3 linked regions of the Caenorhabditis elegans genome follow. The protein of the gene in region 1 interacts with the protein of each later gene in a pairwise test. Each region holds a gene or a part of one and is shown in the gene's direction. Other genes may lie near its edges.

Region 1 (4,809 bases):
TATTATTTTTTATTTAGTCACACAAGTTTACTTCCGATTGTCTATATACCACAACATTGAATAATTGTCTTCATGATTTCATAGTTTTAATAAACTTTGAGACACTTTTTAAGGTTATAGTAGATGATATTTGAGGTGTTCAGTTGATTTCATTTTTCTCCTTTTTTCTAACCTTCCCGTTTAAACTGTGATATTGCTTCACGTCACCCAACCCCTCAATTATCCTCAAAAGTTCAACCACTCACCAAAACTATTATACACTTGCAAAAAATTAAATAGTTGATTGAATACTTTACACAACCTCACCAAGTTTATAATTATGGTTCCAGTAGCTGATAATTGGTTTTTCATTGACTTTATGTTCAGATGGATTCACTTTATAAACCCATTGAATGTATATAAAAACCTCGTCATTTATTATTTTCTTGTAAATGAGTTGGTGGTCGACCCAAAAAAGTCGTCGATTCAGCTCGAATAGTTCAGAACAATGCTCCGCGTGGGGTTGCCATTGTGGGTTGTCGAGAGTTTTGAAGGGACGGAGCAGAACAAAAAATGAATGAAAAGCAAATTGCAAGAGAGAAAATGTTGGGAAGGGAGATGTCAAGTTGCTAAGATTAGAAGCAGGAAATCGGTTGTGGAAAAGATTTGTTTTCGAATTTTGTTCCGCCTTGTGAAATTTCTGAAAGTTTAACCTACAATACTTATTTTAAAACAGTAGCAGGAGCAGCAGGAGTAGGAGTAGCTCCAGTTGGGGTGTTGTCAAAATATCTTCAACCTAGGTTAAAAATAATGAAAAAAATAAATACATTCTTTCAAGAGTTTTCACAATTTTCGTCGTAAATTTGGTAAATACCAATTTTTGAAAGATTTGGACTCATTGATAAACGTGCCTCATATGCTAAGCCTATTTGAATACAAATTGCAAACAAAATATAAAACTTGTAAAACATTTTTGGCAGACTTCCAAAACTATGATAGGTCAAAAGTAAGTATTTTCCACTCACTTGACTTAAAATTTTAAAGATGATTTTAGCACCATTGGAAGAAATTTGAAATAGTTTTTTAAAAAACTCAGTAGACATATCAAGTTTGAATATTCTAAAAACTTTTGAAATATTTTTTAATGATTTTCAGCATCAAATCTTTCAACGAGCGTTTAATTTTGGACGTAAAAATTCAATAGGTCCTCGGTCTAGACATAATATATGTATAGAAAAAACAATGTGATTTTAACGTCCAAAAAAGTTATTATTTTTGACGAGTTATCCTGTGGAAATTTTTGTAGAGTTGCAATTCTCATTACATTGAATAACTATTCTTGAACTTATCGTTCAAATATCTACTTTTTGTTTTACTGAAATAGATAGAAAATGTATCAATTGCAAAATGATCTCATCATGAAAAGACATGGAGTCAATGAAAAAGTGGGGAAACGGGATGAATGTACGTGACTTTTTTCAACTTCCTTTTCATTTGGATAATTAATTTTTTGTTTCAAAAGTTGTGACGAAAGCTCATAATCCTGGTGGGAAAATATGTGTTTTCGAAAATCAGGGAACATTTAAATATATTTTATTAATTTAAACATGTAACCAATTTTTCTGTTTCAAACATTTGATATTCTCGCCGTGCATTGAGTAATACACTTTTGATCTTATAATGCCTACGATAAAAAGTGTGTTTTACTAAAAGGAAAGGTCATGTGAAGAAATAATTATTCCTAAGTAAACGAAGAAATTGTGAGCACTGCCGACATTTACACTGAAATGAAGTTTATTATCAGAAACCTACCGTAATCCAGCCATAATTCTGTTGACTGTGTTTCGTGTTGCCGGGAAACTTTTTGACAGATTATAGATCGGAAGTCGCGTTTTTTGTTCCCAAGTTCGGTTTGCAGAAACTAGAAAATTTCACTGAATTCCTTTTAATGAATTGGTATCACAGATGAATTCCGGTTCAGATGCTCTCCTAAATCAGTTCCGAATTACCGATCAAATACTGATAAGAAGAAAAGGAAGGGCAGCACGTGAGCACTGAGCACTGGTACGAAGCTTTTCGACGTCAAGAACTAGAGAAAACCACAGAATCGGAAGATTGATAAGACATTGTAAAATGGTATATAAGGGAGACGTGCGGTAAAGAAGGCAGCTTATCGCTCAACTTCTTTCAACAAATATGGTAAGTCTTTGATTTCTAGTTAGGAAATTTCAAATAAAAATTACTTTCGATTTTTAATTTGGCATTCATCTTGACATTTCAGAAGTTCCTTATCCTTACCGCGCTCTGCGCAGTCACGCTTGCCTTTGTCCCAATCAATCATCAATCGGCTGTTGAGACCCTCACCGGTCAGGCTCTTGTTGATTATGTCAACTCAGCTCAATCTTTGTTCAAGACTGAGCATGTTGAGATTACCGAGGAGGAGATGAAATTCAAGCTTATGGATGGAAAGTACGCTGCTGCCCACTCCGATGAAATCCGTGCCACCGAACAAGAAGTTGTTCTCGCCTCTGTCCCAGCCACCTTCGATTCTCGTACCCAATGGTCCGAGTGCAAGTCCATCAAGCTTATCCGTGACCAAGCCACCTGTGGATCCTGCTGGGCTTTCGGAGCAGCTGAGATGATCTCTGACCGTACCTGCATTGAGACCAAGGGAGCCCAACAACCAATCATCTCTCCAGATGATCTTCTCTCCTGCTGCGGATCTTCCTGCGGAAATGGATGTGAAGGAGGATACCCAATTCAAGCTCTCAGATGGTGGGACTCAAAGGGAGTTGTTACTGGTGGAGACTACCACGGAGCTGGATGCAAACCATACCCAATTGCCCCATGCACATCTGGAAACTGCCCAGAATCCAAGACTCCATCTTGCTCAATGAGCTGCCAATCTGGATATTCAACTGCCTACGCCAAGGACAAGCACTTCGGTTTGTAAAAATTACATAGAATTGTGGAATAATTATATTATTTCAGGAGTCTCTGCCTACGCTGTTCCAAAGAATGCTGCATCCATCCAAGCTGAAATCTACGCTAATGGACCAGTTGAGGCTGCATTCTCTGTTTACGAAGACTTCTACAAATACAAGAGCGGAGTTTACAAGCACACCGCCGGAAAGTACCTCGGAGGACACGCCATTAAGATCATCGGATGGGGAACTGAGAGCGGATCTCCATACTGGCTTGTTGCCAACTCATGGGGAGTTAACTGGGGAGAGAGCGGTTTCTTCAAGATCTACCGTGGAGATGATCAATGCGGAATTGAATCAGCAGTTGTCGCCGGAAAGGCCAAGGTCTAAATGCATTATGTACACAATTTTTGTAATTACCATCTGCCAAATAAAAATGTTCATAATTTAAATTTGTTCTTAAATCTTCTGAAATATATATATCTTTATTAAAATTTACGAAGAGCAATTACAAAAGTGCATGAAATCAAAATTAATCTAGTCACATTATGAACAACTGACATCAAAAATTATTTCTTATTTGCTTCGGCGACAGTTGTACCGTTGAACCCTACCGTAGCTGGTGGTAAGTCGTGGAATGTGATAACAACCTGAAATTTTGAAATATCAATAATCCATTGTTTGATTAATAAAACATAACGAAATATTTGTGACTTAAATGTTTGACATAAACTACACTTACCTTATCTTTTGGAAGACCCAATTCCTTTCCACAAAACTCAGTGATGGCTGCCGTATTGCGAATATTGTCTTCAGCAGACACTGCTCCGATTGATTTGATCTAAAGAATTTATTATTGCGAGAATTTTGAACTTCTGCCAGAAAAAGGATGGTTTCATAAAGTTTTAATTTCCTTTCTAAGTGTAACAAGGAACTTAAATGTAGTTTTAAAGGTTTTGGTTTACCAAGGTGTTACTTTTGGAAAGTGTTCCTAAGTCACTTACCGAAATTACGGTCACAGGATCATGAGTGGCCCCATGAACTAGACGAGCACCGGCGGCTATCTGAAACTTTAAAGTTAATAATTACTAAAGATTACTAATATACCTCGACAGCAATTCTCTCTCTTGGTTTTCCCATTGATCGAGCAAGAAGATCGGTGAGACGAATCTTAAATTGAAAATTCACATTTTAAAAGGAATACTATGTGAAGTTGGCATTTGTTCAGATTTTTGAAAGTTTTCTTTGGTAAATTGGCGCTACGAAAAGTTCGGGACTTTTGAGAATTTGGAACAATGGTTCATGTTTGTAACCGTACAATACTCTAGAAAAACGGAAAATTATTAAAATATCAAAAATTCGTAGAAAATCCACTTTTTGGTCAACTTCCGAAATTGTGGATGCGAAAACTGAATATAAAATATTTCAAAAATTTGTCTGAACTGTCTTAATATTATTTTTCAAAAACATGTCTGTTTTGCCAAGTTGTGGTCCCAAAATACTGTACCTGGTTTCGAGACGACAGGTGCTTGTAAAATGCAAAAAAAAAGGTGTGCACCTTTAAAGAGTACTGTAATTTTAAACTTCCCTTGCTGAGGAATTTTCATCAATTGTTCATAGTTTTTCGTTAAAAATATTTTCATTGAAAAACTTATTGTGAGAAAAACTATATAAAATCTTTAAGAATTCTGCAGAAACTCGAGTATAAAATTACAGTAATCTTTAAAGGCGCACACTTTCTCGCAACGAAAAAACTCGTCGTGTCGAGACCGGGAACCATATTTGTTTCTCTTAAAATACTTGTTTTTTTCTACAAATTTTCTCTAGACTGTTCAGTGTTTGTTGAGTCGTTTAGAAAATGTTTGATTAAAACACAAACCTCAAAATCAACAGGAACCTTCTCATT
Region 2 (6,364 bases), 420 kb from region 1:
AAGAATCGATTGGAGCACCATATACACCTTGAGCTGGGGGCAAATTTGCAAGGAATGGATTAGCTGCTCCATAAGAGAGAACTGGTTTTGGGTTGATCATGAATGGAGAAGGTGGTGGAGATGGTGATCTATGTCCTTGTTGAGCTGGGGCGTGATGTCCAGGAGCTCGGACATTGTTGTTTTCGCGCTCACGGGTTTCAGAAAATGGAGATGGAGGAGTTGGTGCAGCAGAATACGAACGTTGGCGTTCAGAAAAATGAACTGGAGCTGGTGCAACTGTTGGAACGGGAGCTTGTTGATTGTATCCGTAACTTTCCGAATTTCCACCAGACACTACATTTGAGCCAGGGGCTGACCCGTACATTTGATATGGTTGGCCTACAGTTTGAATGTTGGAATAACCAGTATGAGTTGGAAGATACTGTGGATATTGATAGTAGTTTCTAGATTCTGGTAGAACTTGGTAGGATTGAGTGAGGACGGATGGTTTCTGTTGCAGCTGTGGTTGATTGTAGGGACGATTGCGTGAAGTTTGTTGCTCGGAAACATGAATTGGAGCAGAAGTGACAGTTGATTGGTGGGATTGGTGGGAACTCAAACCATCGTATTCGTTGGCAATTGTTTCACCGATAAGAATAATGGAAAGCAGAAGAGCAAGACTACCTTGACGACCCATTTTCTGAAAATGACACACATTTCTTTTCTATATTCCTTGTTTTGATTAATGCGGAACTGATGTTGGCATGTAGAAATAATCATGGTTGTTTTCGTCTTTTTTCTATGAAAATAAATAAGGAAAAGGAGAAGAAGAAGAATGAAAAGTTTCGAGTGAAAATATTAAAAAAAAAAAAAGATAATTTGCAGAGAACAATGGGGAGATTAAGAAATTAAAGAATTTTGAAAGGGAGTGTCGTTGATTTGGATACGATCACTCAAATAATGTTCTCAAATACACTTAAATTTGGTTTTGATTTTTATAGATTCATAAGTCTATCCAAAATAATCGTGACGAGACCCACCGAGAATCTGAGCATCTGTCTTTCAAGCAATATCTCAAGATTTCACGATTCGCCGATAAAGGATCAAACATACCATTTAATTTCAAACTCTGAAATTTGAAATCATTAATAGTAAGTATGTCTGAATTATTCTAAAACTTAATGATGGGTCCTATGTACACTTTTTTTCGAAAATAATCGAAAAGCAGAATGTTGATAAATTTTAATTTAATTTAATTTCAATGGGGAATGTTCAAAATATGAAATGCTACGCTTGGCGATCCGTTTGTAGTATTTCCCTGACAATTTTTTATAATCCGAAAAGTTGCTGGAAATATGAAAATTTGCCAGTACATTTTAAACTACATTCATTGCAAGGTTGCAGATTTTAAGAGGAAGATATGTACCAAATTACCAAGTTGGTTTATTTTGCAAAAGTGAATGAAATAAGAGAACATGATGATTTTCTAAGTTTCCAAATCCATCTTTTATACTAGGAAGCTTCACCTTCACAACTTAAAAACCTGTACTAGTTTTCCTTTACTTCTCATATTTAATCCAATAAGTCTCTTCTTTCATTGATTCCTATTTCCAAATGTTTTTTCACCAATAAGCTTCACCTTTCTCTTTGTTATTTTGTAGATCTTTCGTTTCAGTTGGTATATAATTTTGTTCACAAAGATACGTTTATGTAACCTTCTTTGTCAACAGAAAAGGTATATTTCGTTAATCCTTTTGACTTTGATTCTTGAGATTGGAGAAATAAAGAAGAACGAAAGTTTTAAGGGTGGAACAGTGTTTTTCGCTGACTTTTAGAAGAATTGAAAGGCTTCATTTGATTGGATAGAGTTTTCGATTTCTTTGATATTTTCAAAGTTTTTGGATTTTATATGGCTTCTAAACTTTGATGCACGTCATAGTTTCAGAGACTTTGATAATGTTGAGATCCTTGCTGAGAATATGATTCAGTGTTTATTCAGTCTTTTATATGACTAGAATAATTTAAATTTAGATATTGTTATATATTGTATCTTTAGTAGTTTTCTGACCAAAATGATATAATTAAAAACATTAGCAACTTCTCAAAACAACTGGCAATTTATTCCAACTATTTAAAGCCGCCATGAGTTTTCAACTGAATTAAATGCTACAAACAATAACATGAGAATCAAGGTTACTATGAAATAATAATATAGTACATAAGTTCTGATTTCAATAAAAAATAACTATTCTGAACAAAGACCAAAGCTTATCACGATGATTATATATTTACCGTAGTCCACCAGTCACCACAATATTTTTCACATTGTAACCCGTAATTTGCACTGCTCGCTTAGCTTTCTTACATGGTCATACTTCTAAAATCACGCAACAAGATATTTATTCTCTCGCTTTCTTCAAGCATTTTCATTCGAAAGCTCAGATAAGCTGTTCAACACTCTGAAATCAGTGTTGTGTCGATTTATGTCTAAAACAGTTTGAAGAGCAGGAAGAAAATTCTGTGGCGATAAGGTGCACTGATCCGAATTCTTTTTATCCAGCATTTCTTTTACTCAAATGACGTTTCTAATCACTTCTTATCAGAAAAATAAATCCTCTTCCACTGAAGAAAAAACGAGCTGTGCCATTTTCTAACTCTTCAGATCCTCTTATTATGCTAATCTAATCCAATATTCACTTCAACATCACTTGTAAATCTTCAGTTTTTGTTCGATATTCTCACAATTGAACCACAAGTCAAGAAACATTAAAACTATTTTTGTTCTTATCCTTTTTGATCTGAAATCGATATTTATATATGTTGTTCAATAATCATTTTACAGTGGGTGTAGGCATGCCGAGCAACCACCGGCTTTCGCTTTGGATGACCGATGATGTTCAGTTTTTGAGGAGTGATACTACCAAAAAGGTGAGTTCTTGAAATTTGAAAATTTATGCGTTTAGCAGGCATAAATATCAAACTTGAATTCTCACAGCAACAATAAAATAATAGTGAACAAACTACTAGAATCTAACCAAGAAATAGGTGCACCTACATACTTGGATATGTTCTATGACCAGGGATTTCTGTTTCAAAGATATTTCCAAAAGGCGCATTTTCTTGGACACTTTTTATATTAGTTAAGAGCATCTTGAATTTAGATATGAAGAGTTCAAAATTCCACTTAAGTTACACTTCAATGAGCTAATAAAAATAAGTAGCTTTCAAAGCATAATTATCGTTTAATTCTGAAATTGTTGCACTCCTTCATCAAGTTTCAGTTGTTATGATGATATTGTTATCTTTGTAACGTTTCTGGATTTCTAATGTTAGTAGTAAAAAGGCACATTTTTGAACTTTAATTCTTAATTTCAAGGTTATTTGGAAGCACTTTATCAGTGTTTTTTCTTGATAAATACTGGGAATTCAGATTTTTTTACCCGGAAGTGTTGACTGAAAATAATTATTTATTTAATTGTGAAGTGACGAATAACATGCTCGTATGCAAAAAATATTGTTCATATGCCTATTGATTGTGAAAACTTTCTGATTTTAAACCATTGCTCTAATTCATTTTATTCCAACCTCTCTTCCTTGTTTCCTTCTTCCACATCATTTTTCTCATCATCATTGTCATGATGGTTCTTAAACCGAAATGAATCAATTCAAGTAATTTTAATTCTCTTTTTCTCTCTCTTTCAAGAGTGTCATGAAATGAAGAAGATGCTTTTTCGTTCGATTCGAGTGTGTACCCTCTAATCCAACGCCTTCACACATTCTCAACCAATGCCTCCCACTCTTTTTCATTTATTTTGATTTCAAGATTCTAAAACCTGAAATCTCTATTCCAAAACATAACTCTGTTGCTTCATAATGGATCAATTCACGTTGGGTCCCTTGATTGCCCAGCAACGTCGCCGTGGAAAACGGAAAAGCTTAACTGTTACTGTGAGTTTCTAGAAAAAAACATGCTCAAACATAATTAAATTTTTTTTCCGTCATGGCTTCTTTAATAGAGTTTTATATGGCTTCCAACTTTAAGTTTAGCGACTAAAATAGCTACAAGAAACCGGATTTTTGTTTTCAAATTTTAGATCCTTATACTCTATATAACCAGACTGTGCACCTAGATCATTGACGACTGAAACTTTCTATTCAGATGTTCTTATTTGTAGAAAAGTTAAGCAAAATATGTGTTCCCAAATAGAGTTGCATCATGATCTCCAGTGTCTCTTTTCCCCTCGCCTTCCAGTCGTGGTAACACGCTGTTGTGTAGTCCAATTTTTTAACTGAAAATGCACGGCAAAAACTAAATTTGGAATGTCTTAACACCAATACGACTAGACCTCGACTGGGTAAAATGCCTAGTCATGCCCTATTAATCTCAGAAAATTGACGCAAACTTCTGAAAATGTTATCCTAGTATTTAGCAGAAACACATAGCAGCGCCATCAGCTGAAAACTATTAGTTGGTTCATGTTTAACATTTTATAAGTATATGCGAAATTAGATGCAATAAAAGGTTCATCCCTCTCGAGAACCCAAGAAGGAAAGGGCACAATCGCCTCGTTATCTTTTTGTATATTATAGATTTCCAAGGGCGTCATCAAATTTTGATATCTGAAAAATATAAAATGAAAAGTGTACATTTTTCATTCTAACAATGAAATAGGCCAGGAAGAAGCACCTGCTTTTGTTGATGTTAGTACAAATGATTTCGATGGAAAATGTGTTTTGAATGAAAATTTAATAATATGGAGGATATGATGTGAATACAGTAGGTCAAAACAGGATTCAGGCGAGTTGAAAATCAGATATTTTAAATTTGCAACTTTTGTGGCTATTACAACGTTGAATAAGTGGAGTGAATAACTTGTAAGTTTTACCTATAAAAATAAATACTTACATAGTCCGTCTACGATGTAAAATAAATTTAAAAACTATTTATTCTGTAATTATCTACATACATTAATTTTTCTATTAGTATTGCAACCGTACAGCTTTTATTTTAAAGTTTATATCTCGGTTGTTTTGAATTCTATCAACAAAAAAATTTCAGCTCAGAATACAGAATACGGGTTGAAGTTTTTCTATAGTTTTCTATTGGACAAATTTTGATAAAGCCGAAAAAATCAAATTACCAGTAATCAAAATTTAAAACGGTTTCTTCATGCACTCTAAATTATATTTTCCGTTTGTTAGCAAAATTTCGTCTAAAAAAAAACAAAACGTTGGATTTAGTACAGTATTTTCTATTGAATTCCGCAAGGTTTATTATTAAAACTTTAATTTGAATCACATGTCACACTGTTCCAAAGTCCAACACCCACTCCTACGTGAACCTTCAACCCGAAAAATAACCTGAAAAAGATATTTTGAGCACTTTGCATACAAGAAGCCTAGAAACCGGATACATTTCAAATACTTGAACCAGTCATGTTCTACGTACCTCTTGCATTTATGTATGTCATCCTAGATCTATCCAGGTCACCACTACCTCACTCCCTCTTCTTTCATCCCCGATTAGTTTCATTCCAATATTGAGCAGCTACCTTTTCCAGAATTTCTCTGTTTTCTGCCAAAATCGCTTTCCGTAGATATTTACGTCATAAGGAATGGTGAGTCCGATCCGTCATTTTGACACCAAAATTGGCGCTTTTCTTTTCTCCGTTTCCCATGTTTTCACTCAATCGGAAATGAATAAAAGCACAATTGAATAGTTGTCTGGGTGATGATGGATATTTATGAAATTGAATGACGACGTAGTTAAATAGAAAATTTTGAGTGAGATTTTGAATTCTAAGAATGACCTACAATTTTTCACATTTAAAATTTATATTCTTATTTAGAATTGTTCCAAAAATAACTCGTTCTGATCCATATCAGGTGCAAACTTCCTAAAGGTTACATAAAGAGAAATGCTAATTTATTTATTTGATTTTGCACTTTACCTCAGTATTACCTAAATTTCGTTTGATTACAGTCAGAAAACCAAGACGTCTAAGCTTCTTAGGTATTTAAATTTCAAACGTCAAAGGTGGTTTCGAAAGGAAGGATATATCTTGACGTAGGTCATTGATTGCATATGTTTACCCACGGCAGCCATTATCATATTTCAAAATCTGCAAATCTATTTTAGGATTTATATCAAAATGGTAGTTATGACGATAGTACTGACCATAGATAGAACAACAGATTTCTTGAATTTTTCACTTGTCAATGGTGAGGCAAAGAGTAGGGATGTTCTCTAAAAAATGAAGCAACATTGAGATATACTTTCCAGAAGAATTTAAAAAGAATATATAATAAGAAAAAAGAACAATCAAACCATTTTCTGTAAAAATACTAAAGCATATATTGGTTCAGAACATTTTCAATATCTGAA
Region 3 (6,375 bases), 6.4 Mb from region 1:
CTTTGATTTTTTGGTAGAAATATATATGCTTTATACATGCACCTCGTAATAAAATGCTATTTCCTGAACTTTTCAAACTCTTTAACTCCTTCTTCTGTTCATCATAAATCTAAACTGAAAAGTTTAAGACACTAATCCTGGAGCCGAATACGAAAAAGTGCTCGTGGAAGCTTTCAAGCTGGATACCATCATGAATTTGGCCGGTTCTACTATTCAGGCATATCGCCAGTAAGTTATATTTTTAATTTGAAATGAGAATTGGAATTTAGAGTGTTGAATCATTTTCTTATCACATGCATTACTCATCAAAAAATGTTTGAAAGTTATTTCCGCTAGGGCTGTAACAAAAAATGTACAGTACATTCTAAGCGGATACCCTAATTTTCAAAAAATTTCAATTTGCATCTACCGTAAAATAAAAATAAAAATCGAAATCTACTTTCCTAGTCCTCTAATTCAAAATTGCAAGATCTTATGACAAGTTTTCAGAAATAGTGAATATATGAATCAAAACTCTTTGCCCAAATTCTAATAATTCATGAGAAGTTTATGTTAATATGTTTTATTTTTTGGTTTTTATATTTTCTGAAATCCCACCTTTCTCTTGAGAAACAAAGCAATTTCGATACTTTTTTGCATATGAAGCTAAACAAATCCTAGATGTATTCTTCATAAAAACTCAGGTGTCCAAACATTGCAATTAACTATGAAAGGATGCATCTTTCCAATTGTTTCGCAATTCTTTCTCGCCTCCGTCTCTTGCTCTCTCATTTCCTCCATGTTGGACGGACGATCAATAGTTTCTATGTTGTCTCTAATATTTCTATGATCTCTCATCAGTGGCTGCGCACGTCTCGCTGTCTATTCGCCGACACGACGAGAGCGGGCTTTCGGTTAATACAACCAAACACTCTTTCCGAACAACGTTATGTTTTACTTGTCCACACTTTATTAGCATCTTTATGTTCAGAACCATTTCTTATGAGCTTTTGCAGGAGAGAAATTATTAGAAAGTTAAAATTTGGTTTCATTTCTGCTTATATTGCGAAATTTGTACCTATAGTGTTGCACATATTTAGCTTATCTTTGACATATTCCAAAAAGTTTCTCAGTTTTCTAAAAGTTTTTCCAAAATTGTTCTAGTGCAACTCAACCTAGCAAAATCAAAGAAATATATTAGTTCTACCACGAAATGCTATTGATTTTCAAAAATTATAGCGCATAGTGCAGCCTTGATTTTTTCAAATTAAAAATTTCAAAAACCGAGTAAATAAAAATTACAAATTTTTAAAAGAAAATATCAATCCACGATGATTTTTATTTTCTCTAAAACGTGTTGAACATTTGGAACATTTTTGCTTTATTTCAACTTATTTCAAAGCAACGTTTCGGTGTAAAATAAGTTTATCGTTATTTTGTGAAAATGTGGAATGTCATTTTAAAGGCACATGCGTATTTTCTCAGGGGGTCTCGCCACGATCTCCTGTATTTCAATAGCAAATGGCAGGGCTGTTATTTAAGACGCCCTCCTCAATCTTTGAGAGCTCATTTTGGCGTTTTTTTTAACTTCAGCCATAAAATTGAAACTGGATAATATTTACCTAAATAATAGATTTTCCAAATTCTTGCACCAAATAGATCTATGGTATAAAACTGTCAGGCTGATTTTCAAATTTTTGCATTTTTTAGAATTCCAAAGTGAGCAGTATTCATGGAAAAATATTTTTTGAATCTAGTTCTACGTTTTTGAGAGAATGCAAGATTTTAATTAATTTTTGTTGTGCCATACTTTGGCATTATTTACATTTAAAAGAAAAAAAGGGTTAATTTTTTCTGATAAATCTGAAATTAAAAAAAAAGACTATCGCAAAACTTATTGAACGACCTAATAGCTATGATCTACATAGATTCAACTGTTTTTACTCACTGAAAAAATTTTCTCGTTAGCTACCAACACTTCTCGAACTTCTTCCAATTACATTTAATAGATTTAAAATTTCAGGCGAAAAATCGAGTCGCTGGCGAAAATGTCAAACATGTCGCAGGACGACGTGACGACGGGCCTACGTACCGTTCAGCAGGGACTTGAAGCTCTTCGTGAGGAACACTCGACAATTTCGAATACTTTGGAGACTAGTGTCAAAGGTATGGCTTTTTTTACGACGAGTTGAACATTTACTAAAATTCAATCATTTAGGTGTGAAAGAAGATGAAGCTCCATTGCCGAAGCAGAAGCTTTCACAAATTAACGATAATTTGGATAAGTTGGTGTGCGGAGTTGATGAGACATCGTTGATGCTGATGGTATTCCAACTCACTCAAGGAATGGATGCTCAACATCAGAAATACCAAGCTCAACGGAGACGCTTGTGCCAGGAGAATGCGTGGCTTCGTGATGAGTTGAGTTCAACTCAAATCAAACTTCAACAGTCGGAGCAAATGGTTGCTCAATTGGAAGAGGAGAACAAGCATCTTAAGTATATGGCATCAATCAAACAATTTGATGATGGAACTGTAAGTTGAATTTTTCGAGGAGCATTCTTAACTTATTTTGTTTGTTTTCAGCAAAGTGATACTAAGACATCTGTCGATGTTGGACCACAACCAGTCACAAACGAAACTCTTCAAGAACTTGGTTTTGGACCAGAAGACGAAGAAGATATGAATGCTAGTCAATTCAACCAACCAACACCAGCCAACCAAATGGCGGCTTCTGCTAATGTTGGATACGAAATTCCAGCTCGTCTTCGCACACTTCACAACTTGGTCATTCAATACGCCTCCCAAGGTCGTTATGAAGTTGCAGTTCCATTGTGCAAGCAAGCTTTGGAAGATTTGGAGAAAACGAGTGGTCACGATCATCCAGATGTTGCCACAATGCTCAATATTTTGGCACTTGTCTACAGAGATCAGAACAAGTACAAAGAGGCTGCAAATCTTCTGAATGAGGCTCTCAGTATTCGTGAGAAATGTCTTGGAGAAAGTCATCCAGCTGTTGCCGCCACTCTCAACAATCTCGCAGTTTTGTTCGGAAAACGTGGAAAGTTCAAGGATGCTGAACCGCTTTGCAAGCGTGCTCTTGAAATTCGCGAGAAAGTTCTTGGAGATGATCATCCAGATGTGGCCAAGCAACTCAATAATCTTGCTCTTCTTTGCCAAAATCAAGGAAAGTATGAAGAAGTCGAGAAGTATTACAAGAGAGCTCTCGAAATCTACGAGAGCAAACTTGGACCTGATGACCCGAATGTGGCAAAGACCAAGAACAATTTGTCATCTGCTTACTTGAAACAAGGAAAATATAAGGAGGCTGAGGAGTTGTACAAGCAAATTCTCACCAGAGCTCATGAAAGAGAGTTCGGACAGATCAGTGGAGAGAATAAACCAATTTGGCAAATCGCTGAAGAACGAGAGGAGAACAAGCACAAGGGAGAAGGTGCAACTGCCAACGAACAAGCTGGATGGGCAAAAGCCGCCAAAGTTGATAGGTATTATGATTTTTATTAGAAAAAAATAAATTAAACAAAACTGATTCCAGTCCAACCGTCACAACAACTCTCAAGAACCTTGGAGCCCTTTACCGGCGACAAGGAAAATATGAAGCCGCCGAAACATTGGAAGATGTCGCCTTGAGAGCAAAGAAACAGGTATGTAATGATGTTTTTTCTGCATTCATGGCTTCTCTATCTAGCACGCTTTACTGCATTTAAAATACAAAAGTTCAGAAAAAAAATTTAGAAGTTAGATATTAATGTTGTAAAATGTTGTATGCGTCCCCGATACCCCAGTGACAAGAATTTGCTTCATATTTACATGTATTTTTGGAACTTAAAACATTGACAACAGTTGTTTCAAACCAGGGGAGTGCGTCAAATTTGCCGAATTTGCCGGTTGCCGAACTTGCCGGACACGGTAAATTTCGAAAATTGCCGCACACATCAAAAATTCGACAATAAAATTTTGACCAAAACTATGTTTCAAACTAACCCGAAAATTAGATGCTGCCTGAACAATGTCTTGCCAACTTTTGAACCAAAATTGGCAAATACTGAAATATTGCACAAATCTGAAGCTCATTCAAACGAATTGTTTTTTAAAATTAAAGTTTAAATTTAATACGAAGCATATTCTTGTCCTCCCCAAGCCCCCATCAATAACAATTCCAGTAACAAAAAAAAACACATAAAACGCTTATTTTTGTATTTTAGTGATAGTGATGTGCTTTAGAATTTGGTCACTCGTTTCCTCTTTTCAGTATTGTTTCCTCTTTCAGCATGAGCCATTACGAAGTGGAGCGATGGGCGGAATCGATGAAATGAGCCAGTCGATGATGGCTTCTACAATCGGTGGATCCAGAAACTCGATGACAACGAGCACATCTCAAACTGGATTGAAGAATAAACTAATGAATGCACTCGGATTCAACTCTTAAGAGCATCTCTTTGCAGCACTGACTGAAAACCGCTTATCGTTCTTGTATTAATAAGTGCTCGTTGATTCAAGTTCCAAATTCTGAAATTTTGTCTCAGATCTACGAAAACTTGCTTTTTTCTTCTTTCGTTGTGTTGTGCATGATTCTTTTTTTTTTGATTGATTTTTCTTTCTGCCCCATCCCCTCATTCACAAAATCTTGTTCATAAATAATAGGGTTGAATAATTGAATGTTTCCTTGTCCGCCCCCACCAACTTTTTGGTAAAGCTTTATATTGTCTGCTTCGAATTTTCTTTTCAAGCAAAAAAAAAAACATAATTATAACAAGCTGAAAAATCGTGTTGTTGTAAATAAAGGGTTTATTTTTGAATTCTGCTTGTTACAAGAAAAAGAAAACTTCAATTTCAGATGTCCGAATCTCGAAGAATGGAACGATCCGTTATGTATTGATTGTTGCTCGACATTGTACTCCGTCATCAAGCTTTACACTTCTTCGCAAAATTCCAAAAGTTTACAAGTTCTCATTTATTTATATGTATCAAGTTCTAATTAAACACTGCTTTTCTATTTTTGTTAGCTATTCGCATAATAACATTTTTTTTTAATTATAAAAATGTGAACCCGATTAAATTGGAAAAACGTTTCGAGAAAAATTATAATTGCAAAGATTCATGATATTTATTCAATAAGACTTGAAAAACATTTACCCTGATATTCAAAAAATTAACAAAAAACAACGGTCAAGTTGGTGATTATGGGAAGGGGTTTGTATTCTATGAAGAACACGGAGAGATTAACATGAGCGGTACCAAACCCTGGTACCAGGGCTTCCTGCTGGCAGGAAATTGTCAAATTGATAACCCATAATCTCCGGACCGAAGTGAAAACTTTAGTAGTCAACGTTGCTTATATACCCAACGATTAGCAAGCGACCGACGTTTCGAAAGAAATGACAACCAAACATTGGGCGGAATTTCGTAATGTTTGCAATTTGAGGTGTAGTGGTGTATAGCAGTGGAAAAATGATTAGAAAACTGTAGTAGGCACACAAACTCCAAACAAGTCCTGACGTTGCTGGAGTTGACAATTTTCTGATAACACTTTTAAAAAACCGGGATAAAAGCGGTTAACGTAGAGGAAAGGGGGAGCAAGGCTAATGTGGAAAACGGTATATGCTTAGTTAGGGGTAGCCGACAAATTGTGGAGTATGTACTACATCGACAAAAATAAATATCACAAAGCTTAATTCAAGAGATTATTTCGCTGAAGTATTCAAAGCGTCGAAAAATATTTTTTATTATGGTGACATGAATTTATGATTTAATTTTTTAAAAATATTTTTTCTCCTTTTAAAAATATGAAACCCACTCCAATAATATTTAGGTTTTTCAAATTTTTAAAGAAATAAATTGTAACTTTTATTTAAGAAATTGCGAGGCGCGTTTAAATCTGATACTCAAATGCGTAAAAGAAAATTGTAATTGAAACAAAAAACGTGTAGAAAAACTGTGATGTTAGATCATTTCACTCGGGAATCGCTCGCCCACTATGGGGGAGTCTACGCAAGGACAACGCAAGGACAAGAACAACATTCTAATGGAATGGAAACGATTGCCCGACTGCACCAATTCTAGTTCAAGCGAACAATGATAACTTTTGTATTCTGTATTCCTTCACGTCTCCCAGCGAGCGTAATAAATTATTATTATTATTATTTCATCATTATAGGAAATTTTTGAACTCTCCTCTGTTTACAAATACCAATTTAACAAAGACTGTATTACTGTTTCAACAAGAAACAAGAGCTAAACGTCACGCGTAATGACCGTCTATTTCTCTTTCTCAATGACTAATGCATAGAGTGCCATAGATATGTGAGAAACTGTTTTCAAAAAGATCAGTGAGATCCAGTGATCTCGTGGGAGGGCACTCAAGAAACTGAGAAC

The links.
Region 2: the proteins of cpr-1 (region 1) and twk-14 interact in a two-hybrid assay, tested with the Caenorhabditis elegans proteins (one large-scale study listed by BioGRID).
Region 3: the proteins of cpr-1 (region 1) and klc-2 interact in a two-hybrid assay, tested with the Caenorhabditis elegans proteins (one large-scale study listed by BioGRID).

What each region holds. Positions count from the first base shown.
Region 1 is NC_003283.11:11,973,405-11,978,213, forward strand, and holds cpr-1 (Gut-specific cysteine proteinase), read left to right. Parts: upstream 1-2,146; 5' UTR 2,147-2,175; coding exon 2,176-2,178; intron 2,179-2,260; coding exon 2,261-2,924; intron 2,925-2,970; coding exon 2,971-3,293; 3' UTR 3,294-3,352; downstream 3,353-4,809. Other genes in the region: MIF-like protein mif-2, read right to left, coding at 3,473-3,553, 3,646-3,744, 3,908-3,967, 4,011-4,073, 4,783-4,809. UniProt on the Caenorhabditis elegans protein: Thiol protease. Has a role as a digestive enzyme.
Region 2 is NC_003283.11:12,392,162-12,398,525, reverse strand, and holds the start of twk-14 (Potassium channel domain-containing protein), read left to right. Parts: upstream 1-2,832; coding exon 2,833-2,907; intron 2,908-3,781; exon of another isoform or gene 3,782-3,852; coding exon of another isoform or gene 3,853-3,927; intron 3,928-6,364. Other genes in the region: K01D12.5 (Prion-like-(Q/N-rich)-domain-bearing protein), read right to left, coding at 1-676.
Region 3 is NC_003283.11:5,575,157-5,581,531, reverse strand, and holds klc-2 (Kinesin light chain), read left to right. Parts: upstream 1-2,027; coding exon 2,028-2,145; intron 2,146-2,197; coding exon 2,198-2,514; intron 2,515-2,565; coding exon 2,566-3,485; intron 3,486-3,535; coding exon 3,536-3,644; intron 3,645-4,270; coding exon 4,271-4,429; 3' UTR 4,430-4,795; downstream 4,796-6,375. UniProt on the Caenorhabditis elegans protein: Kinesin is a microtubule-associated force-producing protein that may play a role in organelle transport. The light chain may function in coupling of cargo to the heavy chain or in the modulation of its ATPase activity.